3 linked regions of the Caenorhabditis elegans genome follow. The protein of the gene in region 3 interacts with the protein of the main gene of each other region in a pairwise test. Each region holds a gene or a part of one and is shown on either strand. Other genes may lie near its edges. The genes, in order: pxl-1, unc-9 and hum-6.

Region 1 (12,188 bases), on a different chromosome or scaffold from region 3:
TCTGATTATATTTTAATTGGTAGAAATATATTGATAAAAAATCCATTTCACCTTTGAGTCAAGTCCTGAACCTGCCCAAAATTTACATTTAAAACGTGAGCCTCTAGAAACATTAGGCTGCTGAATCTATAAATATTTGAAGAAAACTAACGGTTCTTAAGCACCAACGCTGTCGAGACATCAGTTTCTTTTCCCACAGCAAATGGGAAATACGACCCAACAGGTTCGTAAAGTTCTCCGTTTCCAGTGTATATTGGATCGGCGGCATAGAATCGGGAATTCGTCGGAAGTGTTTCCTTGAGTGTTGTTTCTGCTTTCACATCCAAACCAATGCCAAGAGTTACTACTACACTTGGTTCCTGGCAAATTTTGAATTAAATTGGTTTTTTTGTGGTGGAATTGAGAAACCTGAGATGGACTGTACACATGATATTTCATCTCATCTTTGTTCTTTACACCAGTCAATTCGATTTTCGAAAATGCAGTTTCATTTCTACATTGATTAATCACACGTTTCACCCAGTACCACATCTGAAATTATGACGTCATATCAGGATCATCGTTCAATTTAAACCTCTTTTGGATCGGTTCTGCTCCTTTTCAGTTTCTCCTGAAAGCACTGTTTCCATTCGTCGGCTGCTTCCAAGAAGCGCCTGTTTTTGGTGATTGGAAGCGAAGTTTCACGACTATATGAACTCAATTGGTGTACCTGAACATCAGTTTGTAAAGATTCAATGGTAGGAAGAACAAATTTTGAGTAGCTACTAACCACAGATGTATTTACCGTACCCCACCCTAGTGCCAAATAACACTTTTGCAACATGGCCGTGAAAACAAAAAATTTGGTAGCTTCGGCAAATATAAAAACTACATGACTTTTGCATCCGGAAAATTAAAGGAAGCTCTTTTTGATAAAATTTCAAGGAAGTTTCAAAAAGATCACTGGTACAAACTAAAAACTTGTCGTTGCCTGGGGTGTTTTTCTCAAATGAAAAAATATCCAAAACTCACTTTATAATCTGGATAGAACAACATGAAAAGAACAGTGAAGCACAAAAATAGGATTATGAACATTTTGAAGTTGTGCATCCACCGTGAAGCCATATAGGACGGTTCTGAACAAATTTTCGTAGAATATAAAAAGCGTGTCTAAAAACCGTTTTTATGACTTTCTGGTACATTTCGGAAATATAAAACTGTTCTCCGAACTTATGCAAGTGTTTCGAATATTAGTACGGTTAAAGTTTCACCAGTAGTTGCATTTCCCTTTGATGACCAAAAAGAAGCAAAAACTCTAAAATCCTTGACTACTCTTGCCTACTTGTTTAAATTTTAAATGAGAAATCCGAACAATGAGAGTATAGGTAAATTATTATTTTAATATAAAATTTATAAAAATAGTTTTTCATAATTTAATAGCTAAACAATTACAAATGCGCAATTAAGAGAGTTTTTTGAAGTTTTGTGGACCACCCCACCACTGCTCAGTCTTCAGAAATAGGAAATAACTTACCATTTGTAATAACTCGAATCATAATTCTTGTCGTTTGAAAGCTTCCAAGTTAAAAAGATTTATTCCTCGAATGACTAGACTTTTTAACTACACTTGCCTTTTTGTGTCCTTTCGAATTAATTCCAACATCAATCTGTACAAACATTTCAGTTTTTCAGCATCCTGCAAACACAAGTGCCTCCCCCGTTTTTGTAAATCTTTTGATCTAATTTTTAGTTAGTTTAATTACGGTACAAAGTTCGCCGATTTAGAATTGATGTTACCGTTAGCCGTCCCACGCTTCAAACAAATATAATTTGTACAATTTTTTGGACAGTGACTATTTTAGTTTTTTTTTTTTTCAATTTTCAAATTTGCAAAATGCATGTTTCAATTTGACTTTTGAAAATATTTAAAATTAAAAAGGTCTACCTCTATTTCACTAAAAAAAACTTCACAAAAATCGTCTACAAAATAATCAAAATCATTTGTCACCTGAAACATTTTATAAAAAGTAAAATCCAATTAAAAAAATCGCACTTTATTTAAAAATTTAAAAAGTATTAGCAGGTAGTTAGATATCAAAACAAAATTGAGACAGGGAAAAATATATCAATAAGCATTTTCCTCTTCAAAATAAGTGACATCCATTGGGCATTGTTGTGCGAAGTGAGTGTTGCCCTGTATTGAATGAAATTGAGCATTTTTTAAGATAAAGGAGGGTGGGTGGGGGGACCGATAAAATGCAATTAAAAGTTGAGAAAAAAAGTGACTGGGGGAAAAGTTTGATATGGCGGTGGGGAGGAAATTTTGATTTTGAAATGCGTAGAAATTTTAATAAAAATTTTGGTTTTTTTTTGAAAATTGATTTACTTTTTTTTTTCATATTTTATACAATGGACGTGTGGTAAGGTGGAAGGTTTTTGAATTGAGTAGACTGGAATTTAAGTTAAGGTATAGGTTTAGGCTTAGGCTTAATCCTGTATGTCAAGCTGAAGTCTATGGATTTAGGCTAGCTGACACTTAAATTTTTGAAAAGTATGGCATTAGAGAACTAGAAAATCTCAAAGAGAAAAATATTATATTCGATTTCATCCAAGCCTAATATTCTAAACTATTACTGAATTATCTTTTCCAGTTACCACCTTCAAAAAACTTGAAAAACCACAAAAAGACAGGAGAGACAAAAAAGAGAAAAAAAAAGATTAGGCAGGAGTCAATGCATACGTATTATTATAACACTTATGACAGAATGGCCGACGATCAACTTCTTTGAATGTTCCTTTTGTCAGTTGATGATTACAATATGAGCATCTAAAATGTTCCGGATGGAACTTTCTTCCCATTGCAGCTACACATCTTCCATTAATGGCTCCACGACATTGAGAACAGATTGAACCACGAGATTCATGATAATGTCGCTCACAGAGTGGAGCACCGTTGTGCTCAAAGAAACTTGCACCATTGAAAGAAACTCCGCAATGCTGTAAAGAACAATCCACATATATTTAGGGAAGTTTACAGATGACACACCAAAATAAAAATAATATTTTATTCCAAAAATAAAACTATTGACTACAGCTAAAGGAATAATTCTAAAATATTTCATGCTTAATTATGTCTATATCGACTAGGTAAGGAAAGATACAATAAACCGAAAAACCGAAACATCTTTTTTAATGGTATTATAAAATATATTAGGGGTCAAGGTTTTTATTAATATGAAGTTTTGGAAGGTTCAATCAAACTTGTAAATTTGCACATTTTATAGGTCCCATGTGAACTCAGTCAGTTGGCTCAAAATTAAAAATATATAAACCTAACACTTATAGTTAGTTTTATATAGTTTTATTTTTTTAACTTCAAATGTTACTATTAAAAAAACCACAAAACTCTATCACTGCAGCATACTATCAACGAAAAGCCTCTCATTATAATATTTTCTGGCACTTCACACAAGCCAATTTGCTCCACTCATTAAAAATAAAAAGGGGTAAGAAAAAAAAAACGAAACGAATAGACGAATAGAGAGACACCGACAAGAAACATACCGCACAATCGGTTTTCGATGGTTTCTTTAATTTTTGAATTGACTTCCTTGTTTAACAAATGATAATGAACTAAAAATACCTGACAGACAAAACAATCCGGATGCCAATGAGTTCCCAAAGCGGTGATAAAGTTTGAGGTGATTGGTTGAGAGCAGCCATTGCATTTTGGGGCGAATAGACGGAAGAAGTCACGTTTGCAATAGGTTTGTCCATTCTGAAAGTGTAAACTGAAAGGCTTTTCAAACGGATTTTTTTAACCAACCTTCTCATGGAATCCATCCTCTCCGAATGGTTGATTGCATTCTGCACACGTGAAGCATTCAATGTGGAAGTTCTTGTTCATTACACTCACACATCTCTGGAAACTTAAATTTTGTTTCTCTAATCATTTTTATTTCATGAAAATATATTCAAGATGATTAACAAAAAAAAACACTATTAAACTTGTGTCCACATTAATTTTTGCAAAACTCCACTAATCGGCGTTTTTCGTTGTACATTCAAAACTGGAAATACTACAAATCATGCACAATATTCTGTATTCACTATTATCCAATTGTACCAAATATTTATGACTAAGAATTTTGTAACGTCACTTACATCAGTGATGGCTCGATGACATCCTTGGCACTTTGGACTGAATTGATTGTGATAATCTTCTTCACAAAAAGCACGTCCATTTCTCTCAAAGAATGGGCGTTGTCCAAGTTCGGCACCGCATTCACAGCAAGTGTAATGCTCCGGATGCCACATTTTGCCAAGAGCAATGACGACCTGAAAAATGGTTTTATTTTTCAAATTTGATTTTCTGGACATTCCAAAGTTGAAATTTAATAATTCTTTTTAAAACTATTCTGAGGAAATTTCTAGAGTCTCGTAGTTTAACTAAATACCGCGAGAACATTATTTTGAACTGTCCTACGTCACAGTTAATCAGAATTAAATTTCAGGATGCCAAACAGTAATACACAGCGAAATTAATAAATCCTAGAACTTTTCACATATTCTAGAATTGTTTTATTAAAACGCTCACCTGTCCAATAATCGGTTTTCCACAGGCAGCACAATCTCCTTTTGGAATTGTATTGACTCCATGTTTTGAGCTCAATTCTCCATTCATTGTTCCAATCATTGAATCCGAATGCAGTGGGTCTCTTGATGGAGACCGACCGTTCGATCTCTATAAGTTCCACGTTTTTATGTATATGGGCAACGATTGGAAATGTGTGTTTTCATTCGTTGCGAGACCATTATGACAAATTTATGTTTGTGTGTGTATGTTTTGTTGGAATTGGCATATTTACTTATAGTTAATGGAAAAAGGTTTTTGTCGGAAAGTAAGCTGAAAAACTAATAAAATGAAAAATGACTGAACATTGGTAAGTGGCAACAGAAAAGGTGCAATATGCCAAAAAAACGGGGTAATTTTTATTTTCTAATTTACGTAATGATCTTTTAGACCACACAAAAGTATACAAATCCATTTCTAGAATGCTTTTGGAAACTTTCTGTGAAAAATTAGTAAAATTGCCGCGGCGTATTTTTAGCGAGGTCATTCTGTTTTTGATAGCGGGGTATGGAAGTATTTTCCCTATGTTTTTATTTATCCTCTGTAAACCCGAACTTTGTAATTTCGAAATTTAGATCCCCTTCCCAAATAGTCATCAAAATACACTAAAAATCGTTCCATATGACCTCATTCCAAAAGGTTTCTCATCAAAAACCAAGGAAAAGCTAACAATATCTCCCTTTCTCTATTCCCATCGTTTCACCTTCATTTACACCCCCGCTTCAACCTCTAGAAGCCCCCCGTACTGTTTGCTCGTGGAGCTCGTCTGTGTCTCTTCTTCTCACATACTCTCTAGCACGTGTTTCCACGTAAAAGAAAGAGCCACGCGGCAATAAAAGAAGGTTTTACAAACAGAAATTTCGCTCCACTTTTCGTTTTTTTTTTGTTGCTTCCTCTCCTTTTACTATGTTGTAAAATATGAAACTGAAAAGTTTTTGAAAAATGTGACGAAAACGAGGGAGACAAATAGTTGCTCTCAGAACATGAAAATAAGGGAAAAGAAGAAGCAGAGGAAGTAGTGGAGCATCTGAATTTTATGGGGATACGCTTGCATTTGGGATTAATGGAATCCTACAAAACAAGCAAGATGAGCAATGTATTCAAATTAAATGAGGAGACTATGTTGTGAAATGTTGCCAAATCTTTTATGATCTTTCAAATTGGAGCAATGACGTTTAAGTGAAAGAATTGTGGATTTTGATAAACCATACTAGTAATAGTCCATCATGACCTAATACCATATTTAAACACTCTACATTTTTTCTTGAGATTTTTGAAAGTTTTGTCAAGAAATGGTCAACTTAGAACAATTGAACAAAAATTAAATAATATTCTGGTGGATTTCTTGAATTACCAGTGGCAAAACCCGAGTAATTGCCAATTTTTGACAGTAAATTGAATATTTCAAAAAACATTTTGAAATTATTTTTATTTCAAAAAGTCCCAAAAATTTCAAGAAACCTTTATTTTAAAAGAATGACCGAATTTTCTACTTTGTAGTCATGTGACCAAAATAGGAAAAACTACAAATTCATAAAGTTTGCGTCTAAGTTGAATACATATCGTTCAGGATCAGTAAATTAGGTTTTAAAATTTGTGAACACAGAAATATCCGGAATTAGATTTGTAGAGATTGGGAAAGTTTAATGAAGATTCTGGGATTTTGAAAATTCTAATTTAAGGACATTTTTAATTAAGGTCTCCCAACGAAAACATTTCAGTTTCCCTTCCCAGAAGCTCCCCCCGAAAAGAAATAAAAACTTACGACATCAGAGTAGGATTGTGCCTGACTTGGTGGTCCGAGACTCTTGCGTGAGCTATAAACCGAATGATGTTGTTGGTGGTTTGAATGACTATTTTGTGCATAATTTGGACCATTGAAATGGTCAAGCCGTTGTTGCAACTCGCGCATCATTCCGCCAAGTGATAGGTAAAAGTGTTGTGTGCGTGGAAAAGAAAAAGGTGTGCTGCTCCTTTTCTCTATATTTTTCTTTCTCACTTGATAGAGAGTAGGTACTCTCCCGCCCTACAGCATTTTACCCCTGTTGAGCTCAAGAGATACTGAGCAAGACGAAGAAACTCAGTGAAAAATAAAATAACCGGCTCCTCCTCTGTACCGGGGAAGAAGAGATGATTTGCGACACGGGATGAGACGAGTAGAAGTAATATGCGTGTATGTTATTAGTCTTTTTTCTCGTTCTTCCCTTCACATTTGAGTTTTTGTTTGTTCCCGGGATTTTAGACGCAGAAACACGGGAAATGACCTAAGAGCCGGCGGGAAAATGGAACACGGAGTTGGCATTTTGATAAACGGGCTTGACCATTTCAAATCGGAATTTTCTAGTTTTATATTTTCAACATTTTTATTTTCGGAGCTATTTTTGGAACTTAAAGGCCATTTTTCTTTTGTTGTCTGGAAAGCTTTTAGAAATTAAAAAAATATATATCTGAACCAATTTTCGTGATATACATAAGTTTTCAATTTTTTTGAAGATGCACAAAAAATGTTGATATAAAAATTAACAATTTTCAACAAATCTTATAAAAATGTCGAGGCCTTAAGTGAACTTTCTAGGCTACAAAAAATTATGAATTTTCGAATTAAAATGCCTAATAGAATTCTAAATTCTGAATTGTTGGTCTAACATTTTTTGTGTGTTCTAGGCCATTGATTTATATTTTCGCATTCTCAGATGTAAGATGTTAATGTTTTACAGATTTTTTTGAAAGTGCCAATCAAAATTTTTTAAATTTTTCCTTTTAAGAATCCTAATCGCAAGATTCTTGAAATTATTAAATCAGAAGATTTGAAATTAATATTTAAATTGACTCATAGTATAGCTTTTTAAAAGGTTTTTCTAGGCCACGAATTTCAAAATATGACTCCGAAGATAAAAATGTTTTCAAAAAAACAAAAAACGTTTTCTCCTACCTGCTTGCTCGAATTGGTGGTTCTTCGACTTGAGACAATAGACTTTGGACACTTGGACGTGAATAGACTGGTGGGTTAAGTCTTGATTCATTTTCTACAGATACAATTACATATTAATGTTCTTTACATGAAAAACAAACCATAAATCCTTTCCTGACTTTTTGAATAATCTTTTCCTTCTGACGAACGACGTTTGTAGGGTGAAGTGGTTATATTTCCATTGCTCACACTGACACAAATATTAGATGTTTAGTTTATGTTAAAACATGTATGGAAAGGTTTGTAACATTAAAAAAAAACTAACCTCTGTGTGTTAAGATTTCCCTGAAGATCATAGGATTGCTCAAAATCATCACGACTCTGTGAGCGGCGATCACTTATATGAGCACGGCGGAGCACTTCTGTGGTGTGTTGAAGATCCGATAGAAGGGCTTCTGAAATTAAAATAATATATTTATTTATTTTTTGTTTCAATTACAGAATTTGAACTCTTCAATGTTTCAAATTGAAAAGTGAAAACCCACTTTTTAAGAATTTTATTATTGAAAACTATCAAGTATGAAAATCATATAAATTTTCAAAATTATGATAATTCCATCCAAATATTAATAAGTTTCCCATTAATCAAAAAACTCATAATTTCCAAACTAGTACTACGACTACTACTGGGAGCATTTCTCCACCGGAAAGCCTCCATTAGAAAGTTCTTGGGTACCTAAAGCTGGTTTAACCGCATCCGCAAAACGATCGTCGCTTGGCATTCTTACTGAAATATTCAAAAAATGTTCAGGAGAAAATCAAGAAAAAAACAATTAAAAGGCGGACGAAAGAGCTTTATTAGAAGTTATAATGTAATTGGATTTTATAAAAAGTCCAAAATTCAGTTATTTCAGAACCTCAGAATGCAACCCGACGGCTTAGTCAAGTTTCGGAAAATCAACAAATTATCAATTGATCGAATTTACAACAAGATGTTCAAAATAGTAAAAAACGGTACCAATGAGGGTGTATAAAAGAAGGAAAAGTGCAATAATAGATGAGTGTGTATGCATGTGTATGGGGACCACTAAAAATGTGAGAGAATGTGTCAAAATATGTGTGAGTGAGTGGAAAAAAGTGGGAGGAAGAAGACAAAAAACGATGAAGAAGCCGACAAAAAAAAAGAAAAAAGGAAGAAAGAAAGAGGAGGAGAAGGAAAAAAGATTTATGGAGATGACATAAAAGAAGTACAAAACATTGAAAAAAGAATAGCATCTGGATAACAAAAATACAAATTTTTATTTATAAAAATTACAGTTTGATGAGGAATCCTCAGAAAATAATCCAGTAGCCTAAGTTTTTAAAATATTGAAAAGGATGTCTAATAGTAAGTAGACACTTCACCTCTCAAATTTTTAAAGTAGAAGTGTCTACTTTTCATTAAAAAAATTTAAATTAGAAGTGTCTATTTTCCCATAAAAAATTTTTTAATGTAGATATGTCTACTTTCCATATATTTTAATTTGATTAATTTGCTTCTCAGAATAGGAATGATCATTTTGATATTAGTTAAAGCTTGATCAATAGGAAAACTTAGTTTAATTGTGAAAAAGTGTTAAGATAATTTTGGTTCAAATTTAAAATTGTGAAAAAAAAACTTTTTTGTAGAATTCCAAAATTAAGAAGGTGAGAACTAGCCACTTTTTGACTACACTATTTTAAAAAAACATTTGAACCGTTTTCTATGATATTAGGACATTTTAGCAACATATAGGAATGGTTTTATGCAATTCAGTTCGTTAAGAGTTTTTTCAATTACACATATTCCTAGTACATGTTTTTGCTAATTGAATTGAAATTTAATTAGAAAATAATCCAGGTTGCTGGAAATAATTGGTACTTGGAAAAGGGATCGATAACGAGGAAATATTTAAAAAAACCTTGAAAGTCAAATCAGTAATCCAATCTAGTAATCCAATCTCTCTTTTTCGAAAAAAAAAATTTTTGGAAAATCTAAATAAATTATTAGCAACATGACCGCCAAAGAAAGCGATGACCGAGGTATCCCTTTTCTCGGCCAAGTAGCAGAAGTCTCCCTATGACAAGAGATACATTGAAATCACATATTCCGTTTGAATAGATCACATTTTAAACGGTGTTGTGAAACCGGATCGAGTACTAAAGGAACATGCCAATCATGCATGAAAAATGAGAAATGTCAAAACTTTTATGAATTTCTACGGTATATTGTGAAAGTTGTTTGGAAGTTCTTGAAACTTCTTGAAACTATTATTTTACCAGAATATTATTTGATTTAAGGAAAAACTAGAAAATGGAACATGGGAATTCTTCATGATCTTGGCCCTTAATCTTTAGGAGTTTCTTCAAAAAAGAGAAGAGATAGACGATAAAAGGAAATAGTGTGAAAGTTAAAGAGATACAGAGACAGACACATAAACGACACATAGAAAAGAGCGGGAAGAAATGGAGGCAAAGTTTTTGTTTTTGAATCAAGAATGAGCGGGAGGAAGAGATTGAGATGTACACAGGCTTGAGGGAATTCGAATTGAATTCGATTGAAATGTAACTAAACGGCTGCCGTAAGATAGTAAGTACGACGGTTGATCTAAAAATGATACAGTTTCTAAAAATGTGGCTCTATACAATTGATGAAATTTATTAATGGTACTGGCTCTAAAGACTCTAGATAAAACTCTCCACTGGTTAGAAAGAAAACTATGCTCTAAAATGTCTTGTAATAGTTAGTGAAGCTAGCAAAAAAAGTCTCCAAGAGACTCAAGAGATCTGCTCACAGTAAAACAAAAAAACGCGTCAAGAGTGTCTCTCGCCTCCCACCGCATGCTTTAACTTTTTGATGACAAGTTTGCGCCGCCACGGATATAAATAAAACCATCGAAATGACTTTGAAAAGATCATGGAGATCCGAAGAGACACATACGAGCATATCGTAATTCAAACAGAAAAAAAGTTTGCAAAATGTTTCAAGTAGGTTTCGAAAGGAGAGTGTACCTAGGGATCAGTTGTGGAAGACGGAATTTGTGGAAAATTTAGAAAACAAAATTATTATAAATTCTTAAAATATGGGATAATTTTTTACACTGTCCCGTAAGAAAATTCGGTCACCAATTTTATTTTCGGGACCACGTACCGTATTCAAGATTCAAGTTTTTAAGGCAAGTAGGTAAAAAATGCCAGCTTGTATACACCCGTTTTTGTACGCGAACATTTCACATTTAATTCTATAATTTGAAATTACCAAAATCGGGGAAATTCGTAAATCTTCAAACAAAAAATTCAGAAAATAGACGGTAAGTAGACACATAGATATATAAATTATTTTTTTATTCAACACTTTGAATTGTATTTTTAGTTTTTCTTCTATACCATTAAAACTTTAATAATTCTATACGGAGCAGGAAGGAGTTCACAGACATCTATGAATGGGCGGAGCCAAATTTAGAAAAAAAAATCAAAAATATGAAACAAAAATTGAAATATCAATAGAAAAAGCTGAGGAGAAAAGTGATTGGAATCAGTGGCAAGAGGCAAATCACAGCTGTTCGTGTTGCTAAACAAGTGAGCGGGCATCATGAGGGAAAAAGTGATAGGTGGGCGGAAATGATCAAGAAGAAGAAGAAAACGACGATTTTAGAGAAGATTTTATAGAAAAAGAGAATGAAGTAGAAGGGAAGGAAGTACAACAGAAGGAAAAGAGAAAGAGAGGATACAATTGAGACCGAAGAAAGTGTGGGTTTTGAGAAGAACACATCAAATTGGTATGCATTTTGTATCAAACTTTGACATATAATGTTAAATATTCAAAATTGATCATGTTTTTGAAAATTCCAGAGTTTATCTTATTACAATATTCCCTCCAGTTTTCATGCACCTCTTGCAGTTAAAATTAAATTGCACAGAATAAATATTTTTTACATATTGGAACAAGGAACAATGCAAAAAATTTGGAAAATATTAAACTTTTGTGAATATTGAAAGATTTGAATGTCAAAACGCAGTACACACCTTCCTTTTTGGGGGTGATTTCAAATTTTAATAGAGGGGCATATGTTGTCTTGAAATTAAAACATTTTTACACAATTTTGTATTGCCAAATTCTGATAATAGACGAAGTTTAAACTAGAACCTAGCGTATAAGTGAGCAAGAAGTGCATGAGGGACCTCTTGAATCTCAACATGTATCATATTTCATTTCTCTCGAATATTCAGGTATTATTACGTCATTTATGATATGGCAGACATTTGAATTTAATGGAAGGACATTCTTCGACAAATTTTTTTGGATTTTAATTTTTTTCATTTCTTTTTGTAATTCAATTGAGAACGTCAAATTACAAATAGAAACCCAATGATTTTTTTTTGTAATTTTTTTTGTTTGGAAAATAAAAAGAAAATTGGTGGGGTTTCATGTTTTGGAATATATTTTTCGGATCTAACTTTTTCCAATTTTTTTTTTTCAAAATAATTTGATATAAGCAGTAATCTAATTTCTTTCAAAACTCAGTTGGTGACACTGTTTCTAAAAAAAGTGAAAAGGCTTACCAAGTCGATCTACAGCAGTTGACATTCCCCTTCTCTCCTCTGCCACCTTCAATCCTCTGCCACCGACGATTCAATTTCTCTGGA
Region 2 (11,116 bases), about 11 Mb from region 3:
AAATTTAAGCATATTTTTATCGCTTACATTTTTTTTCGGGATGTGCATATATATTACCTCAAAAAAAATCATATAAGATTACTCCATCTTAAACTTGAAAATGCCAATGTTTCTGTAGCTTAGACCGATCTAAAGTGTTCCTACATCTTTTTCATGCAATTTTATATTTGTGTAACAAAAAGCAAGCTCAGTGTGTACAAATTTAGCTGATAGTGTGTAGTGCACCTTTGTGAAGCTTTTTGGTAAGTTTGCAGCCGATATTGAGAATTGCAACCTTACCGTCTATTGCCAAAATATTAGTTGACTGTCAATTTTAATAAATATACCGTAAAATACTTGAAAATAATTCAGAATCCTATTTGTGTATTTCAGCCGCTCGACATTTCATTTCAGAGTTTCCAAATTTTACTCTTAACTTTTCAGTATTTGATAAAGATTAGAACAACACGTTTGGAATTAACGAACAACCTGGAATTTTTTTCATTTTTTTTTCGAGTCCTTCTACAACATCGATTTTGGCTCTTGAAGTCGTCCTTCTCGTCGACGCCGCCGCCGCCGTGGCGTGGCCCGTCTCCTTTTTTCTTCTCCAACGGCAATGGAAAACGGGGGAGAAAACTCCACAGCTCAGTGAGAAAACTGGAAAAAAGCGTAAGAAATTGAGAGAGGAAGGGAGAGAGAGTATGCAAAATTCCGCAACACGACACTTTAGAATCTTCCACGTCCAACCAGGTCCATTGGTCCCCTCCTCCTTTCAATCTATACCAAAAAAAAACTTTTGTGTATGTATGTATGTGTATATGCTCCTTTATTCACTCTTCACAACTTGTTTCTTCCCCTTTTTTATTTCTTTTTTGTGCATGTGCGTGTGCTGCTTTAATATAATGTGTAACTTCCTTGGCCCCATTGTCAGAAGTCCTTTCCCATTTCCGGTTTGTCAAAAAAAAATTTCACTCAATTTTTGTTCTCATACTACAGTACTTTGTGCCGCTACCCGAAAATGTTTAGAAGACCGAGAGCAACTCTCCTACTTATTACTGCGGCGAAGCACACATATACTCGTTTTCTGAGGAGAAAAATCGTTTATACATAATAGGTTCGCTTCTATTTTTCTTCTGATTAGTTAGTCTCGAGAGAGCAACGGGCGGCAAAACAACGAATAGGAATTGTTTTGAGGTGGTGGTCGAGGTTCAGACTTGAGCACTCTTTCCTTTCTTATTTTCCGCTAGGTTTTACTTTTTCCGCTCATGCGACGAGACTACTACAAATTGAAATTGAGAGCTGGAAGATGGGAACAATTTTCATGGTTCGGTCTTAAAAATCTGGTTTTCTGACTTGTTTCAAGAAAATACCTTTCTACGAAGAAAAGTAAATCAGGATATAATTTTCAGTTTTTCAATTAGTGATAGTTTGAAACTTGCAAGGGAATCGATTGCTTAGAGAGACAGTCAATTTGAAAACTTCCAAAAAATATTTGAAATGTTAAAATCAATGCTCAAAAGTAAGATTCGAGCTTCACATAAAGCAAGATGCTTATGATTTTTTTTTAATTTTATAACTTTCGTACTATTTTAGTATTCAAAGTTAATAATTAAACAGATCAGGTTCCCCTTTAATGTTTGTTCACTAGATTTTCCGGTGTGATCTATCATTTGAGTCTTTTTTTTTATTCCGTAATGACTTCTCACATTGTTCCAACTCTGCTAGGTTGAACAAATTCGTTTTACAAGCACGGAGTACGTGTAGGTGCTTATTTAAAAAGTTTATGTAAGTACGTTGACCGTACCTTATCACGCAATATTTTGTTTATTTATCTGAAATTTTCTGTGCAAATATAGCTAATGAAACGGAAAAAATTGAAGGATCAGAATAAGAAATAAGATGGGGAAGAAAAAAAATGCATATTCATTCTTATCTTTTTCACATTTCAATGCACACCACTAATTATGCAGCCGTTGTTTTCTTCTGCCAATGTCTTCATCTTTATCCGTTTTTTGTCATTCTTCATTTCTCTCCATCAGCTTTTGTGCAAATGCAGTGCATCACGTCATTCAGGGACAGAGCCACAGGAGACAGAAGAAAGGAAAAAGAAAAGGGGACAAAAAGGGACCCTCTTCTCTTCACTGGATGCGAAATTCAGAAGGAAAATGAGAGAAAAGGAAGGAAAAATAGTGTGCCAATGTGATGCTTCTTCTTTTTTTTTCTTTTTTCTTACTCCGTGTGGTTTTCGGGTATATATGTGGGGCTGTCTATGTCTTCATTTTCCCACTGCTCTCTGTCCACTCGCTCCACGTCCCCGGCTCCCTCTCTCGTTTTCTTCAATTGGCCATCAAAATTCGTGGAAGACGAAAGAAAAGAAAGAAAAGCGAGAGGAGGAATAAGAAAACGTGGAGTAAGCCAGGAGACCTCCTTCTCTCTTTATCTGTCTCTCTAGTATGCATTTTCTCGAGCAGGCTAGTAAATTTTTTTACTATTAGAAGGTGCCTCACATAGATATTTCCCATTGTACTGAGTTATGGTTTTAATTGTTTCCAATGTTCTTGTGAAAGTAGTTTGGTTGAAATACGGAATTGAATTATCAAGATATTTAACGAGAATTGAACTGTTTTTTTTTTCGGCCATTTTCAGTAGATTTCATTGGATTTTCTTAGAATTTTTGTACCTTTTCATCTGAACACAGCTTTTTTCAAAAATATATAATCGCGAAACGCGCTAGTTGGTTTTTGGATTGACTGACATCATCCCACTAGCGACAGGACAATTTTTAACCTAGAAACACTGATGGCACTTTTCGTAAGTTTTGTAAAACCTTGAGATTTCGGCAACAAAGCCGCCAATTCCCGTCTCCTGATTTGAAATTCATGCACTCTTCTTTGGTCCTGGCAGAGTTCAACTCTAGTGTGAACTACAAGTTGAGTCCACCTGAACTTTTGCTCTTGCTCCATTCCTTTTTCGTTTTAAAATGTAGGTTCATACAATAGCTTCTTAATTAGAATTCAGGATGTCAGTAATAGATTCCTGTGAAAGACTCTGTCAAGATAATTTTTAGATTCTGAAAGAACATTCGGAATATAGATAAATTTGTATTACGCATGTAGAAAATGTATACTTTAATTGCTATTAACTAGGGATTCTCTGATTTGCTGCATAAATATTCTTTTGGAGCTTTTATGTTAACTTTTTTCATATTTTAAACATTAAAAATGATATTTTCTTCAAATTATCGTCTTTTCATTAAAAAATTTGTTTAAGATGACCACAAATCAGAACAATAGGCCACGATATATGGGTAGGTTTGAATCGAACATTAAATTTGATAAAAAATACGATAGGTTTTACTGAATTTTTTTTTGACAGTTTCACAAATATAAAGTTTTAGTTTCAAAAAATGGGAAAAAAAATCATAAGAATCCCGAACTTTGCCTTAGTTGTTTTGTTTTCGTTTGCTTTGCATTTTCTTGTAAAAATCAAAAATTCTCACGGTAGCCTTTCAATTATTAAAAATATTTAAAAGTCGCATTCAATTTTTCAAAATTTGAAAAAAAAATCCTCCAACAGCAAAACGCCATTCCCCTTTTTCTCCTTCAAGTTTCTCCCTTCCTTCGCCATTCCTTGTTCCCGACGCTTTTTCTTTTTTTTTCCAATGCATAATTAGAACGACCTGGCTGCCATCAACAGACGTTGTCGTCCGTCGTTCACTTCTATTTTCCACCACCTCCGGCTCCCCAGCTCCTGTTTTCCACATTTTTCGCACCCTTCCAATGTCCGAACAAGACATGTTTTCAAACAAAAATTACTAGAACATCATCCATTCTCCATTTCTGCCCGTATTTTTCATCTCTTGTTTTCCCGTCATATCCTTACATCAAATTTTTTTTTCAGATCGGAAAAGGCGCTACGGGCGCCGTCACGACATGACTTAGGATGAGTATGCTATTGTATTATTTCGCGAGTGCTGTGAAGTCAATACAGTTTCACGTCGATGATGACATTATTGACAAGCTTAACTACTATTACACCACAGCCATTATCACAGGTATTCTTTTCTTAAATAAAATGTATCAAACTTTTTGATGAAACATAGCATACTGGTTTACAAAAAAACACATGAAAGAGAACCGAAAAGGTTTAAAATGAAAATAAATCTTCATGAATTAGTACCCATTAACCAAGGACCAAGGACTTGCTCTCCCTTTCATTTTGTTACATTTTTGATCAAAGATGTTTCCAATCAAGCATGTGTTTCTGAACCGTTGGGAAGTATTGAAATAGAAAAAGTTTGAAATAAATGTTTTGAAGGAGCTTGAAATCAAAAAATCATTTGATAAAATAGACATTGAAAAAGAAATTCAACATTAATTATGGCAATTTTGAAGCCATAAAAAAACACGTCTCTAGTTCATATTATCTATCTCCCGTTCTCCCATATAAATGAATTTTTCTCCAATAATTTCTTAATTTTCAGTGTTCGCGATTCTCGTCTCTGCTAAACAGTATGTCGGTAAGACCAAACATTTTCTATCATATTCTCACTGTCAACAAACCTTTTCTAGGTTTTCCAATCCAATGTTGGGTACCTGCGACGTTCACCGAGCCCATGGAGCAGTACACGGAAAACTATTGTTGGGTTCAAAACACCTACTTTCTCCCTTTACACGACTACATTCCACATAACTATGCAGAACGTGAAAATCGACAAATCGGGTTAGGCTCTGTTAATCTAAGAGTCTCATTAAAAAACGAACAATTTTTCAGGTATTATCAATGGGTTCCGTTTGTGTTAGCTCTTGAAGCTCTTCTTTTCTATGTGCCGACTATTGTATGGAGACTGCTCAGCTGGCAATCAGGTAGGTACTTCGATTGCAAAATAGAGTCTCCAATTTTACCAGTTACTTTTTGTATTGTAAGTATTAAAATAATAAAACGTGTAGTGGATGCATTTTGCAATTTGAACGAATTTGCATTACCTAAAAATATATCCAGGAAGACACATAAATATGTGACGTGAGGTCCGAAGCATCAGCCTACTACCAAATAGCAAAAAACAAAATTGTTGTTTTCAAGAAAAAAACGAAGAAAAAGCGTCAAGAACGGCGTGAAGAAGAAGAACAACAAAAATATCGCGGAATGAATGCGCGGGCCTTCGTCGATACTTTTCGCCTCAAGCGCTTCGAAGCTTTCCTCTCCTTCTCTCACCTCGAGGGAGTATACATAAATTTTCTTTTTTTTTGAAAGCTTCTTGCTTGTTGTTGTTTAGGACTAAAAATTTTTTAGGGAGCAAAAAAAAATAAAATTCAGGAATTCTAATATATAAGCTAAATAGGCAAATTTCAGGAATTCATGTGCAGTCTCTGGTTCAAATGGCTTGTGACTCCAGATTGTTGGATTTGGAATCGAGGAACAGAGCGTTGCAAACCATCGCAACAAATGTAGAAGAAGCGCTACACGTGAAACATCAAGTGGTATGAAAACTGTAAAACACAAGAGTACCCAATACGCACAAAACATTCTAGCGTCTTTGAGTCGCCCTGCTGTGTACCTTCAAGCATAATCACAGCCAATAATATTAATAATAATAAGAATATATGTAAACGTTTTTTACTTTTCTGATTTGCATTACTAACAGTTCAATTTTAACCAATTCAAGCTACATTCCGCAAAACATTCCGCAAAAAAAAAAATAGAGTTACCAGTTATCAATGATCGGGGTACACCTATTCTAGAGATAATCTGATTCAAAGCATTGAAGCTCCGTAAACCTAAGTTTTGAGATCTGAATTTTTGATGCTCCACACCCCTCTCGGAGAACTCCTTCAAAACTGAAAAAAAAACAACGATTTCTGAAAATTTTTGTTTATCATCAGATTTTTTCGGTTTTTCTTCTAATCTTATTATTTTTAATTTTACAGATGTCCGGAAATCGTCTGAAACTGCTCAACTTGATTATTTGCACACGATCTTCCGGTGCTGCTGTCACGTTCCTCTATATCTCTGTCAAAATTCTGTACACCGTGAACATCGTCGGCCAAATCTTTCTACTGAACACGTTTCTCGGTAACCGTAGCAAATGGTACGGACTGCAAGTTCTCAACGACTTGATGAACGGACGAGAATGGGAGGAGTCTGGTCATTTTCCACGTGTAACGTTATGTGACTTTGAAGTAAAAGTACTGGGAAACGTGCACCGACATACAGTACAATGTGTACTTATGATTAACATGTTCAACGAGAAGATCTTTCTGTTCTTGTGGTTCTGGTACTTCCTTCTTGCCGGTGCTACTTTGTGCTCGCTTTTCTACTGGATCTACATTTCAGTGGTGCCAAGCAGGTATGTTGATCATGTTAAAAACATTTTAAACATGACGAAAAACAAATGTGCACCCATTTGTCTCAATTAGCTTTTCAAAAAGTGAACGAAAGACTCATTCACGTAATGTTTTCACTGCAGGCAGCTCAACTTTGTTGGAAAGTATCTGACTGGAATCGAGGGATATAAAATGGTGGATTCGCAATCACTACGACGTTTTGTATTTCACTTTTTAAGACAGGTAATTTAACCTTTGGAAAAACCGAAACAAAAAATGAAGTGCGGCGAAAAACAAAAGAACTTCATGTTCAAAAATTTTAAATATTGGAAAAAGCTCATGGAATTTAGAGTAAGATAGAACAAATGAAATTTTAGAGATTTCTAAGCAGATTTTTTAATATGACAGACTTCGCATATTAGATATGCACCCTTCTTCACGAATTGACAGCTTTCATTGATTTTTTGAAAAAAATTTCAATGACTGTGAAACTACAGAAATATAGAAAAGAAACATACCGTATTTCTTCTATCGCGAAGTCATACAATAGGTTTTAAATGAAATACGACTGGGCAAAATTAATGAAAGCTGCAGTGCTAACTTTTGAGCTAGTTGTTGTTTTACTCTTAAAAAAACAAAACTGCAATTAAAATTTCCAAGAGAAATTTTAACTGCAATCCTGTTAAAGACGTATTTAAAACCACCGTGAGTTAGTAAAACAAATAATATACAGTAGTTAGAACTTTCCCGGTTCATAAGTTTTTGATATAACTATCAATAATGTCAACCAAATTATACGTATCTTGAACACCAATTAATTTTATTAGATTTGCACTATTGTGAAAAAAAAAGAAATAACTTTTACACTGACCGAAATTAAACCCCATTTCAGGATGGTGTTTTCCTACTTCGTATGGTTGCAACTCACGCCGGAGAACTACCCTGTTACGAGCTTGCGAAAACGTTATGGAACAACTACTGTGACAATAAAGAAGGAAAAATGCACGACGTGTGACACACCCCAACTTCGTAGCTTTTTCAATTTCTTCTAACACCAGTTCTCAAATTTTGATCATGAAATCTCACTTTCGAAAATCATAGAATTGTCGTCAATGGGTGTAGTCGTCTTTAGCTGATATTCTCAATTTTCTGTTGCTAGAAAATATCGAATCATCAACTGCATTTAAACATCCAGATCAATGGAAACTATTCACTTATCTTTTCCTCCTCATCATAATTCTCTTGAAAACCAAAACTAAACAATTTTGGAGGGTTTTAGAAGAGTGCCAAAACTTTTAAACTTTTGTATTGAATCAATTTTTAAATTTCTCAATTGAATACTTCAAAAAGTTGCTCAAAACTTTATCGATCCATTGTCATTTTCACCTCGAGCTTTTTGTCAATTTCACATTTAATTCAATTGTTTTCTAATTTTTTTTTTGTAAATTCTATTTACCAATTTCCAAATTTTCTATTATCAATTTATCAAAACTTTAATGACGCGGTTGTCTTTATGAATGTTCATAACTTTCAAATTATTATACCTAAATTTCCTCTAAAATTAACTCCCAAAAGTCTTTTGTAATTTTTTTCTCCAATTTTATTCCCTTTCCCCCCATCCTCCCACTTCTCCTTCCTTCTGTGGTTTCTTTCAAATGGCATCATGTCTTTTCAAATTACCTGGATTCACGTTTGTAATATAGATAATTTTTGTCCTTCCCCCCAAACTCACTTGATACAAAAATTAACTTTCTCGCCCTGTAATTCATATTTCTTCCAGTTTGTCTTCATCATCCACCTGCCAATGTTCAGTTTTCACCAAAGTTTTGAAAACGGAACCCACAAACTTTGCCATATTTTATTGTGGATTTGGATTATTTAATATTATTTGAAAATGAATAAAATAACAATTTTTCATTCTACTTCTCAGTAATTTTATAGTAGAGGAAAATAGCATACTTGCTTTGCAAATAAAAACAATTAAATAGAAAAGAAAAATGGCAAAATATATTTTTTTGAAAAACTATATAAAAACCGTCACAAAATTTACAGACATTTTGAAGGTTGTAAATTAATTAAGTTTTTGAAGAATGTTTAAATCTATTAGAATTCTTTACTTTTTTCACTGTCATTTTCGAAACAAACCTCACTTGCTCTGCAAAGACTAGAAGATCCAAAAACCAGGCTATTCAAAAAAACATCACAAGATGTCACAATAGAGCTATTGGAATATTCGATCCCAGTTTCCGGGGAAACAGTTTGCAAACACCAACCATCCTACGCAACTCATTTCTTCTTGTTTTGTGCTCGGTGTGTGGTCGAATATGTCAAATAATAATAGTTCCACTAATTCTACTGACACAAACTCTACAACAACCACTACAACAACTGCCGAACCAACTAATATCACTGATAACCTTTTACAAAGATGTTATGAAACAGTTTTATCAGATAACCAGAGCGATATAGTGAAGGTTTGAAATGTGTTTGAATACTTCCATTTATTTCTTTTTTTTTAATTTCAGTACCTTATGTATTTTTGTGGTGGCTGGATAATAGTATGGTGCTTAATAACTATATTGGTAAATATTTGCCATAAGTAAGTTATCTGATAGTATTTTTTCGAGTCGAGATTTGTAACATTTCAGGAATAAAGGGCACCAACGATATGTACACTTTTACGAAGAACTTTCAATTATTCTCCTGGCAGTTTGCATGTGTATTCTTAACTTTGTATTCAATCATAAATCAGTGAGTAATTAACAAAATAAACTCAGAGAAGTTTGTATATTTAGAATATCTGCAAATTTGTGGCGATTTTCAATCATTTTTTCATGTGCCTGACAGCTTCAATATTCTTTGCGGAAGCATTATTCGCATCGTCGTAAGTGAAATATTCTAATTATATTCACGTTTTTCAGTGTCAAATTTCAGAATGGTGCATGGAAAATCCGATAAAAACGGAAGTATTCCGTGGATTTTGTACTACATCTTCCCGATTGTTCTTGCAATAGGACCAACGTTAGCGACATATTTTCCAGAGAAAAAATATTATGGAACAGCATATTTACAGTGGGACACTTTCAGACTTTATAATAAACGTTATCGATTTCCAGCTGTTCTGCCATTTCCACTGTGGATATGCTTTGGGGGTTTGTGATTCCGGTATGGGTTATTTTAACGTTAGCTGGGCTGAAAGCGCAACTAGCGTGTATTGCATGCGACCGGCAACTACCATCTCAAGATATTTATCAATGCTATTGGGCGAGAAGATCAGTAAAATCATTGGTTTTGATTTCGCAGTATATATTCAGCATTTGGCTTATGATATTATTTGCTGCAGAACACCAGGTTCGGATACATTTGTGTTCTTCTATAGTTTTGAATAGAAAGAAATTTTTAAAAAAGTTACACTTTCGAAGTAAACTATAAAAACCATTCGTGAATTTTTAGATCATACGTATGAACAAACTGTTACTATTATGCAAAACGTCATTTTAATTTATTGCAATTATCAAACCGCTAATTGTTTTTGAGCCAGATATGCATGAAACTATGGCTTTAATAAAATTCAATTCAGAAACTCTACTTGTTTATTCTGGTCACCTTCATGACACTCCTATTTGGACCAGCTCTTTTTGTTTGCCACACATATGGACATTTGAATGTAAGCAACTGATTTTTCATGCACAGTCTGTTTTTTTGCTTTTCAGACCTGTCAGAAGTGGGCTGGTTCGGGGTGTTTTGCTAGTTTATACGCTATGTGTCCACCGAAACCTTCAACATATGAAAAAGATAAAGATGATGAAGAAGATGAGAAGATTGAAAATCCTCAGGAAAAAACACCTCTAGAAAATGAAGATGAAAATCCAGAAAAGCAACCTGGAGCTGGCGACTCGAAAGAGCCAGATGAGACATCAGGAAATAGTAGTCCGAAAAAATCAACACAAAGAGGAAAAGGACTGGTGAGTGTTGCTATCAATTTTGATGTGTCTACTATATTTATTTTTCTAGGACCCCACAAAGCACACAGAGTCTCAAAAATTCTACTCATGGCTCACCGATTCGAGCAATAGCGGAAACAGTGGAGACATTTTGTTTCGTCCATCTGTTGCTTAGTGGCGCTAAATGATCGCATTTTTCGATTATGTGCCTTCAATTGTGTTGATAGAAAAATATTTATTAAACATAAAGTGTTTTATAAAGCCAATGAATTAAAAATATTTTAAAAACCTGGATTTGTGAGAAAAATAACGTGTTGATTATTCGTCGTCTTGTTCCATGGATTCCTCACTTTCGTTGTCGAAGACAGAACGGAATGGTCGTGGAGCTGGATCAACTGGACGGCCATCGGCGGTCTTAGCTTGAGCAAATCCGACACGGTTCTGATCAAAATCGAAGACGGAATAGTACCTGATTTTTCATTGGGTTCGTCAATGTTTAATTTGAGAAAAGATATGGCTCACCTTCCAATGAAGACATCTCCAAGAATCCAGAGCTCTCCAACGCGTTCTGGGAGATCGATTCCCATAAATCCAGACAAGCAAATAGTCTTTCCACCCTGTGAAACCTTAAGGACATAGTCTTCTCCCTTAAGACTGAACTCTTGTCCTCCGATCACAAAAGAGACTGGTGGAAGTGTTGGAACCTTGTCGCAGCTGATCATGTACTCTCCCTTGATGAGAGGCTCAGCTCCAATGAAATTTTGGATGGCTTCGATTTGAGCCTTTGGTCCGGCTATGAGAGAAGTACCGGTATCAGCAATTGCTTGGCATCCATTGGAGCATCCAAGAACTCCAGATCCAACAACCTTG
Region 3 (9,149 bases):
TGGTAGCTAGGATACTATTTTTCAATTACAAATATGTTTCCGATTACTTTTATTTTAATTTTATTGCCCGAGTCTAAACTATAACCTTATTCCAGAAAAAAATACAGCAGCTGATTTTTGGCTGGTTTATTTTTGACTAGAGTATCTAAATGTGAACTATCAGAAAAGTTTCTGAAGTGAGCTATAAGCAACTTGAACTGAAAACTTCTTTAACTGCCAAAAACCTTACATAAACTTCTGACCCATTCGTGGAACCTGGTTTGACATCAGCCAAGTCTCCCATAAACCGTAATATTGTGGTCCATGCGGTCAAAGCCGCAAGTTGTGCACTTGGCTCGGTGTGGGTGAGAAGCGCAGTTTTCAATGGCTTCTTAACATGAGTCGCAGTGGCTTGAGCTTGGAAGAATGTTGCCGCGTACTTTCCGAATTGATATTTACTGAGATCTTCATCTACGTACGAGTCAACTCTTGGGATGTTTGCTGGTGGCATTACAGGAGATGTCTAAAATAAAATAATTACAAGCTTAACTGAAATTAATTTCCTTACATGAAGTCTAGAATAGGATCCACGTCTGCTGCTATCCGCACTATCATTTTCGTTCCCAGAATCTTTCCCGTCAGATGGCAAGAAGTCGAACAAATGACCAACCTGAAAATACACAGTTAATTCAGAAGTAAAAGCACCTCCCGAAAAAAAAAATTCAGTAGAGAAGAACCATAGAATGCACACAACTAGCACAACATTTTCAACGTTACCTTCGAGTTTCTCCCATCTAACAATTCGAACTGAATATTTTAGAAATCAGGTATTTTAGGTATTCACTTTTGTGTTTTGAAGGTGGAGTAGATTAGGCCTTCCTTTACTCCCGCACGCCCGTGCGCCCGCAAAATCGCAGTCTGTGTACTGCGGCCGACGCTACACAAGTCCGCGCGTCGCTATATCTGCGTGGTGTCTGCGAAGCTGTGGTGTGGTACAGGTAGGGGTGGCAAGAGTGCGACCTAGGTCGCTAGGTCGCTGTTTTCATTTAGGTCGCATCGCGACCTAGGTCGCATTGCGACCTGCAACCTAGCGACCTGGGTCGCATTGCGACCTGCGACCTAGCGACCTAGGTCGCTTTGCGACCTGAAGTACTGACATTTTGTGCTCTTTCGGTTTTGATTCACTTGAGTTGTCAAAATCTGTATAACTCGAAAACTACATAAGATTGCAGAATATGTATACTAACAAATTGCTACAAATCATTTATTTTACATTGTTTTCGATGTCTTATCCATAAGACACCTTGTCGAAAAAGTTAGAACAGCCGACATCCGCCGGATTTGCTGCTGACTAAAATTGTTTCAACTTGAAAACTATGGTACTAATGGGTTTCGTTCCCCCCGAAATGTTTTAACTTTCTAAATTTCAATTTTTTTTGTAGAATTGTAGAATTTGTAGAAATCAATGCTTTGTTTTGTGCTTTTTTTCTACGTTTTTAATTCGGTCGCAGGTCGCAAAGCGACCCAGGTCGCTAGGTCGCAGGTCGCAAGGTCGCAGGTCGCAAAGCGACCTAGGTCGCTAGGTCGCAGGTCGCGATGCGACCTAACCCTCTAGGTCGCAGGTCGACATAGGTCGACCTATAGCCACCCCTAGGTACAGGCGTACGAGAGTAGCGCCCTCGTGGAAGGCTTAGAGTAGGTATTGTGGGTATTTTGCTTAATTATACTGAAACTTTCTTAAAGCGACCAAACTTCGTGATGGGACTTCTCAAAACATTTCGAAAAATGTTTTATGGTGGGTCAAAATTTCCAAAAAAAAAAGAGCTGAATTTTCCTAATGAAACTGGGATTTTGAACTAGTTTTAGTATATTACGGGACCATGAGGTCATGAGAATGCCTCTTTACTGGCGCGAAAATATTTGCAGGCCGCGGCAGCAAGATAACATGTGGCGAAGAGAGACGCAGGTCCCTTCGCTACGTGATATTTGCCGCCAGAAAAGTAGACATTCTCATGATATCGTGGTTCCATAAAATTCATACAATGTACCCACAATCTATACTCCTCACATAAATTGCCTAAACTCACTAATTCCTCATGTGAATCCGAAATAACTGAAGCAGTGGATGAAACTTCTGTGAGTGGTGCTTTCTCGCCTCGTTTTCGCTTTTCTCCAACCTGACGACGTACTAGAGACCCGCGGCATACAGCCTAAAATTGACAATAGTGTAAGTTCCTATGATTATTATCTAACTTGAAATTGGATGATTGTCTTTCGTAGAGTTTGATAATGTGACACCAATTGTCTCGAACGCAAAACAGCCTGAAGGCGTGAGAAACCGGAAATAATCTGACGATATCTTTTCCTTTGGTCAAAACCTCTCCATGCAGTTTGAATGGTGACAGCAGCTTGTCTTTGCTTCTCAAAGTCTTTTCTCACTAACCATCTCCTGACATTTTTCTGAATAACAATTGCCTTATCCTTCAATATGCGGTAGTACTCTTGCTCCAGAACCAAGTCGTGTTTATCTTTCAGAAAGACTTTAGTTTTTCCAAGTTGATAGTCAGCATTTGTTCCAAGAATCATGTGGCAAATTTTTTTGGCTGCATCGTGCAAATCGATCCTGTTCACTGGTCCCTGGATGGAAGAAACTAAGACACGATAACGGAAGACAAATGGATAGTAGTCATGACGAATCGGATAACCACTCCTTCTGATTTTGATAGTCTCCATCATTCCGGAATAGCGAAGCTGTCTTAATACAAGATCTCTATCCATCACAAGTGCTCTCTTCATCTCATTCGGCTTGATGCATCTGATGAAAAATGGATGTGTTTGAGTCAACTGGGACATAAGTTGCTCCAACGATCTTCGGAATTGATTTCCGACGGTCACCTTCTTTCTGGAGCTTGTGTCGTATTCTATGTCGTCGAATAATCGAGCAAGGAATGGCATTTTTGATGAGGAAATGAGCACGGACAAGTCGGCTGAAAAGGAATCTCGATTCTTTTCGAGGAAACCTCGTGTGTTGTAAAACACATTTCCAGCAAAATGAGTGACTCCAAATGCTCTCTGAAGCTCAGATTTTGGCTGCAAATAGAGCTCGTTTCTGCCATGTGTTGAATGAAGTTTGAGCAGCATTGTCTTATCAGTTCCTTTTGGGAAAATACTTTCCTCATCAATAAGAGACAAAATATTCAACGGTCTCTGAGCAATCAAATCGACTGTAGCCTGATTATCGACAAATTTTATGTGACGCCAGTTAATGTGCTCCTGCAATGTTGAATAAATTTTATTTTTCAGATTGAAATATGAAAACTACCTCATCATACTCCTTCTGCTCCATCTTAAACACATGGTGAACAAAGAATTGTTGTAATGTCTCATTTGCAAAGTTAATGCAAAGTTGCTCAAAACTATTACTTTCAAAATTTTCAAACCCAAAGATATCAAGAATTCCGATAGATGTTCTTCTTGACTGCGACGGTCTTAAAAATAAATTTCAAAATATTTTTTAAACTAACCTAACTCACTTGTAAATTGCATCGTTCACTCTTCTAACGATATGAATGAATAATTTTCCATAAATTGCCTTCGCAAGGGCATCTCTTGCATCGACGGCTTGTTGACCATTCAATCTAGAGATCACTCGTTCTTCGCGCGTTACTAAGCTTTTAGTAGTAATTGCGTCAAGAAGATTTTGCTCGTGGAGTTGCAAAAGTTTTGCAATTCTGACAAGAGTTGATGGATCGGCTACATCAACTGATTCCATGTTGTCATTCGTATTCTGTCGGAATCTGATGTTTCCAATATGAAGAAGAGATGCCAAAAGTTTGAAGATACTTCCAATTTCTTGCTCGTTGATCATGAGAACTCGCATTGCGGATCGGATTTCAGCCAAATCGGCAGCATCATCACGGCCTTCTGCTGTCAGTGTTTTTCCCTAAAGTTCAATTGATGTCGACGAGTCAACCTTTATAAAGCTTACTTGAATCAAATAATAATAATCAGCAGCTGTTCCTAATTCTAGCTCCGACTTTTCTTCTCTGGACAGTCCTGCCAACAAACAATAAAATATATGGTAATTTCTCTCATTCTCTGATTGAGTAACAATTCTCGATTTCTCCAACAAATATTGTTCAATTTTCGCTCCTAAAACAATACATCTCAATATGTTCCCACTTGTCAATCAAACCTTCAATAGATCCACTCTCGTTAAAATGTACATCAATGTATTTTCCAAATCGAGACGAGTTATCATTGCGGATGGTCTTCGCATTACCAAATGCTTCGAGAACCGGATTTGCTTCTAGGACTTGCTGTTCGATCCAGCTGTGTTGTCCACTGATTGTTGCCAAAAACTGGAGGACCAGTTTTGTGGATTCAGTTTTTCCTGCACCAGATTCGCCACTGAAAAAGAAAATTGCTCAAAATTTTCGTTTTTTTATTTACTATGTAGTCTGGAACTCCAAAAAAAAATTTGTTGTTGTAGTTTAGTTTAAAGATGAGAGTGTTTGCTTTAAAAAGTAAAAAAAAACAATGTTTTCAAATTTTGAGCGCTTTTAGATGGTAAAAGTGTGATTTTGGCGTGAAAAGTAACTGAAAATTGCAGAAAATTCAGAATTTTCAAGATAAAAATTGGCTGAGAGTTTTCGGAGTTTTCAAGTGGAAATACTTCAGGTTTTAAGTTCTAAAGTTTATGGAAAATATTTTTTGGGTGGAAATTGTTGGAAAATGGCTGAAAAAATTAGAATTTTATTGGTTAAACTTGAAAATTTTAAAGTAAAACTTGGGACTTTTAATAAGAAAACTTGACAATTTTTCAGAAAATTTAGATTTTAGTTACGAAGTAAAAATTCTAATTGTTATGCTACTGGAGAGGCTTTTTCTGTTTTTTTTTTAAATAATTTTTGTGAAAAAATGCTCCTTGTCTAAAAAACGAACCTGATAATGACAGATTGATTTTTCTTTTCCCTCCTCATATTTGTATACGCATTATCAGCAATTGCAAAAATGTGGGGTGGAAGCTCTCCGATTCGTTTCCTTTTGTACATCCGAATCTCATCAGCTGTATAGATAGCAATGTCCATATATGGATTTACTGCTATCAAAATTGAACCAGTATAGGCCTAAAATTGTCTAACTAACTTTTTGCGATATTTCTTTAATTGCTTACATAAATAAGTTTTTCTCTGTATCTGATAAATAAATTTCTCAAAATCGCACTCTCATGAAAATCGCCCAGCTGACACATGTCTTCCACACCCTGAACTGATGTCGGATGCATCAGCCTGACCCGTCGATCCGCCGATAGCCATTGTTCCTGAATTGTACTTTTACATTCTCTCCCTCAACAAAAATTGCAACACGACCACCGCGCAACTTATCAAATGCGTGATAAAATGTTAATGTTAAAGAGATGCCCGCAGTGATGCGAAAGTAGGAAACGGATTGAGGTCAATGTTGCGGTATCAGTGAAAAATGTTCAAAACAGTGGTGTCAAAACGTACATTTCCAAGATCGTCAATCACTTTCAAACGTCCATGGTCTTGGTCGATGACGCGTGCTCCAATTGGAATCGATCCCTCTGTTTTTCCGGGCTCAATCCAGATGAAGTCACCCTGAGAAAATATACTACGTAATACAAGCGGCTGAGCAAATAATATTGGATGGTTACCTTGCTTACTAATACCATTGTTGTTGATTTACAAAGTCATTGGAGCACAGATTATCTGAAAAAACTGATTTTCGTTAAGGAATATCTTTTATAAAATTCAAAACGATTCAAGTTTCAAAGATTCAAAGAAAAATTAACCAATAAAAACGTGTGCTTTCAAATACTTGAAGGCGGAGTACCGAAATCTGAGACTTTGCCTTTTTAGACCCAAAATGACCCAACAATTTTTTTTTGATTTTATCTGAAAATGAGCTTTTTTTGCAGAACTTTGAACAGCCGTAATTTTTTTTTGAGAAATTTTCAAAACGTCTCATTACGAAACTCGGTTGTTTTGGGTCGTTTTAGGTTTAAAAAAACAAAGTCTCAGATTTCGGCACTCCACTTTTAAAATGGTTCGAAGTCAAGAAAACATCATAATTTTAGCTAAAATCTCAAAATTGTGCAAATTTACCGTGTCAATTTCCGGCTGCTGAGAAGCAAAAATGCTGGGGAAACTGGAGATTTTAGATGCATTTAAGTGAATATTTTTGAAGTATTGAACCGCCATAAAATTATTAAAAACATTTATTGGAAAGTTTTGTTATGAAAGTCTGTTTTTGAGCCATTTTGAATCTAACAAAGCAAAAAAAACTAAAAAATTCAGACAAATTATAATCATGCTCTAAAAGTTTTCTTCTACTTATACTAGTATGATATTAAATTCACAAAAAAAGTCAAGAATTACCTATGTATATAGAAGTAATAAAAACGGCAGGCAAATGAAATTTGAAATTTAAATCAAAACCTTGAACAAGATAGAAAGAAAGATAAGAAACGCTTCAAATGAGTACAGCGCTACAAAAAGAACATATGGTATTCAGTAAAAGTTGGGAGCTACATAGCTGAGCAAATGTACTCAAAACAGTCATGAACACGAGTTTATACACAAAATATGCATAGGTTCAATAAGCCGAAAGTACACAGAAACCCGCAGGTTTTCCGAATAAAGACGTTCGCCGTCTGTGTTCGGATTTTCTTTCTCTTTTACACATTCTTATTTGTTGACAAATGTATTGGCTGGGGAGAGAGAGGGGGCCCGGGGTCTGCAAGTGATGAGTCCGAGCGACTTTTGGGGGGGGGGGGGGGGGGGGGGGGTTTGAGAGAGAAACACTGTGATATTTGACCACGGTTAATCCGAAATGCGCGGACTATCTCTCCGTCATCTTCCGCACTGTTTCTAACAGCCGCTCCTCCGGCCGCAATTGTCTTCGGTCAAATTAGCTAGCCAATACTATTTTCTCATTTTCTTTCTCTCTTTATCGCCTTCCAAATAAATGAGGTCATCTTTAGAGAGGATTACATAAAATTCTAATTACTCAGATTTTTAAGATTTTCAAAAGTTCATTACAATAAGGGATATCACATTCACATTGCAATATGTCAAATTAAAAAAAAAACTGAAGTGCTGAAATTTTATCAGCCCCATTGCTTCAGTTAATTGTACTAAAAAAACCCGATGAATTGACAAAAAAAAATACACGACAGCAAGCCCAGCTGGAACGGGGAACAAAAGCACAGAGAGAGAGCTTTTTGAAATAAACAACAAATATTTGCATTTCTTATGTATAGATGGACAGTCAAAATTGAGGTCACTCAAAGAAATGAGATAAGCTTGGGCAACAGCGGCCTAACAACTAGTATCCCTATATGAGACCGGGAAATGTATGACTACACCAACTACTTGTTTCGATGCAAATTGCATTCTTCTTGTAATGTTTCTCATTCTTAGCAGATATCAGGAAAGGAATGAGGATGATAATGGAATTAGTTTTTGATGGGGGGAGATGTGATCGAATGAAAGTGATAGTTAGAAAAGAGTGAATGAGGGAAAATCACTGGATGAATGCAATTGAATAGGGAAGATACTCTCACGGCACTTCATAAATCAGCTTGAAGCATCATTTGCCCAACTATAGAATATTCATCTTTATTATTAGCAACATATAATTAAGACACATTTTTTGGCAAACGTACTCATATGAAATGTCACAGTAGATGCTCCAAATTGGAAATTAGAACGTGATTTTTTTTAGACAAGTACAACTTATGGGGATAATATAAATTAATGTTTTATTGATATGAAATGAAAAATAGCTGCGGTGTTGAGTTTGTAAAAATTTTAATCCAAAATTTTTTAAAGATCCTATTTTTTCCCTTTAGGAGTTCGTTATGGTTTTTGTTCAAAAATTTGTTCTGAGATCATTTGATTCGCAAAGAAGCTTTAATTAGACTTCAAGAATGTTTTTGCTAAAAGCTATGCCACAAGGTGAGGTTAGTTTTTGCCACTTTTTTGGAAGTCGTCGATCATAGAAAAGTATTCCGTTGAGTTTTGGGGTCTACATACGTTTCGAATATTAATATACAAAACTTTAATTTTAAATATTGTAGGCATTGAAACATGTTACAGTGCTGTAGTTTTTTTCCCAAAAATTGACAAAAACTCTGTAATTGCCACTGTCAATAAAAGTTTTTCAAACGTTTTTTTTGAAAAGTTTTACTATGACTTTGGCCATTTTGGCACCGCTACTACACCTATAAATACCGTTTTTTCTGTTGGAAATATAGCTGCAATACTAATTTTCAGATCATTTTTTTGAGCTGGGGCTTACTAGTTTGTACTTGAAAGATTTCCAGTTTTATTTGGAAATTTAGAAAATTTACTTATAGCTGCAACAAAAATGTTCATGAATAACTTCAGTTTCATAGAAATTTTGTGAAAAATTGTTGCAAAACTGGCAAAAAAATGTTGTCAAAATCTTAAAATTAGTGAGGCTGGTTTGCACCAAAAAAATAGACGCAGGACTGTTAGGGAGTGCAATACTAATAGGAAGTGCAAATCTAATAGGGAGACCATACTGATAGAAGAAATACGGTATATCAAAAACTTTGCGTGCAATATCATTGAATACAGCATGCAACATTTCAGCAAAAACTTTTTGACTAAATTATGGTTTTGAAAAAAAATTAATTCAAAAAACGTTTTTCCGCATTCCATGTCGAGACGGCTAGGGGGTATGACATAACGATACTCCAAAAAACGTGTTATCTCCACTTGAGTTTTTAGGAGTGAAAATAAGAAAAACATTGATGAAGCGGAGAAGGTGGGAGGAAGCAAATATTGTTCAGCAAAAAAGAGGAGATGCAGAATAAGCGAAACAGTTGTTTAACGCCATAAGTGGACACTACGGAGGCCAAAAGACACAACGACTGTGGAAGAGCCTAGCCGATCCATTGTTTCGCCACCGGTGCGCGGCTTTGTGCACTTGGCCCTGGCGCTGGATTTTGACAAAAAGCAACAAGATGATCGATCATGAAGTGGAATTGTGGTGGGGGTGGTCGTTTGGCGAGTATAGTTGAAGCTTTCGTAGTCGGAAGAGTAATTGGATAGGTAATCGGATATGGTCCTTATTATATATGTTTGCCAGATTAAGAAGTCTCGAGACTAAGTGAAATT

What was found.
Region 1: the proteins of hum-6 (region 3) and pxl-1 interact in a two-hybrid assay, tested with the Caenorhabditis elegans proteins (one study listed by BioGRID).
Region 2: the proteins of hum-6 (region 3) and unc-9 interact in a two-hybrid assay, tested with the Caenorhabditis elegans proteins (one study listed by BioGRID).

The regions. Positions count from the first base shown.
Region 1 is NC_003281.10:5,887,702-5,899,889, forward strand, and holds pxl-1 (Paxillin homolog 1), read right to left. Parts: upstream 8,311-12,188; 5' UTR 8,306-8,310; coding exon 8,260-8,305; intron 7,979-8,259; coding exon 7,849-7,978; intron 7,774-7,848; coding exon 7,685-7,773; intron 7,639-7,684; coding exon 7,545-7,638; intron 6,586-7,544; exon of another isoform or gene 6,528-6,585; coding exon of another isoform or gene 6,430-6,527; coding exon 6,378-6,429; intron 4,724-6,377; coding exon 4,577-4,723; intron 4,318-4,576; coding exon 4,144-4,317; intron 3,902-4,143; coding exon 3,806-3,901; intron 3,758-3,805; coding exon 3,623-3,757; intron 2,977-3,622; coding exon 2,698-2,976; 3' UTR 2,572-2,697; downstream 1-2,571. Other genes in the region: C28H8.8 (uncharacterized protein), read right to left, coding at 152-359, 409-531, 575-709, 1,012-1,074. UniProt on the Caenorhabditis elegans protein: Required for myofilament organization of the pharyngeal sarcomeres and for pharyngeal muscle contractions and hence for pharyngeal pumping. Together with lin-8, might be required for myofilament organization in the body wall muscles.
Region 2 is NC_003284.9:13,208,511-13,219,626, forward strand, and holds unc-9 (Innexin unc-9), read left to right. Parts: upstream 1-3,879; 5' UTR 3,880-3,921; coding exon 3,922-4,033; intron 4,034-4,462; coding exon 4,463-4,498; intron 4,499-4,550; coding exon 4,551-4,701; intron 4,702-4,752; coding exon 4,753-4,844; intron 4,845-5,331; coding exon 5,332-5,459; intron 5,460-5,906; coding exon 5,907-6,325; intron 6,326-6,445; coding exon 6,446-6,545; intron 6,546-7,194; coding exon 7,195-7,317; 3' UTR 7,318-8,215; downstream 8,216-11,116. Other genes in the region: R12H7.4 (G_PROTEIN_RECEP_F2_4 domain-containing protein), read left to right, coding at 8,627-8,776, 8,828-8,901, 8,951-9,053, 9,098-9,186, 9,237-9,374, 9,419-9,653, 9,883-9,969, 10,016-10,267 and 1 more; asp-4 (Aspartic protease 4), read right to left, coding at 10,565-10,715, 10,769-11,116. UniProt on the Caenorhabditis elegans protein: Structural component of gap junctions. Plays a role in maintaining gap junction activity to promote locomotion.
Region 3 is NC_003284.9:2,299,646-2,308,794, reverse strand, and holds the start of hum-6 (Unconventional myosin heavy chain 6), read right to left. Parts: upstream 5,714-9,149; 5' UTR 5,675-5,713; coding exon 5,657-5,674; intron 5,601-5,656; coding exon 5,490-5,600; intron 5,303-5,489; coding exon 5,156-5,302; intron 5,109-5,155; coding exon 4,924-5,108; intron 4,390-4,923; coding exon 4,175-4,389; intron 4,132-4,174; coding exon 3,968-4,131; intron 3,923-3,967; coding exon 3,513-3,922; intron 3,468-3,512; coding exon 3,302-3,467; intron 3,253-3,301; coding exon 2,233-3,252; intron 2,190-2,232; coding exon 2,067-2,189; intron 650-2,066; coding exon 548-649; intron 503-547; coding exon 230-502; intron 1-229. UniProt on the Caenorhabditis elegans protein: Myosins are actin-based motor molecules with ATPase activity. Unconventional myosins serve in intracellular movements. Their highly divergent tails are presumed to bind to membranous compartments, which would be moved relative to actin filaments.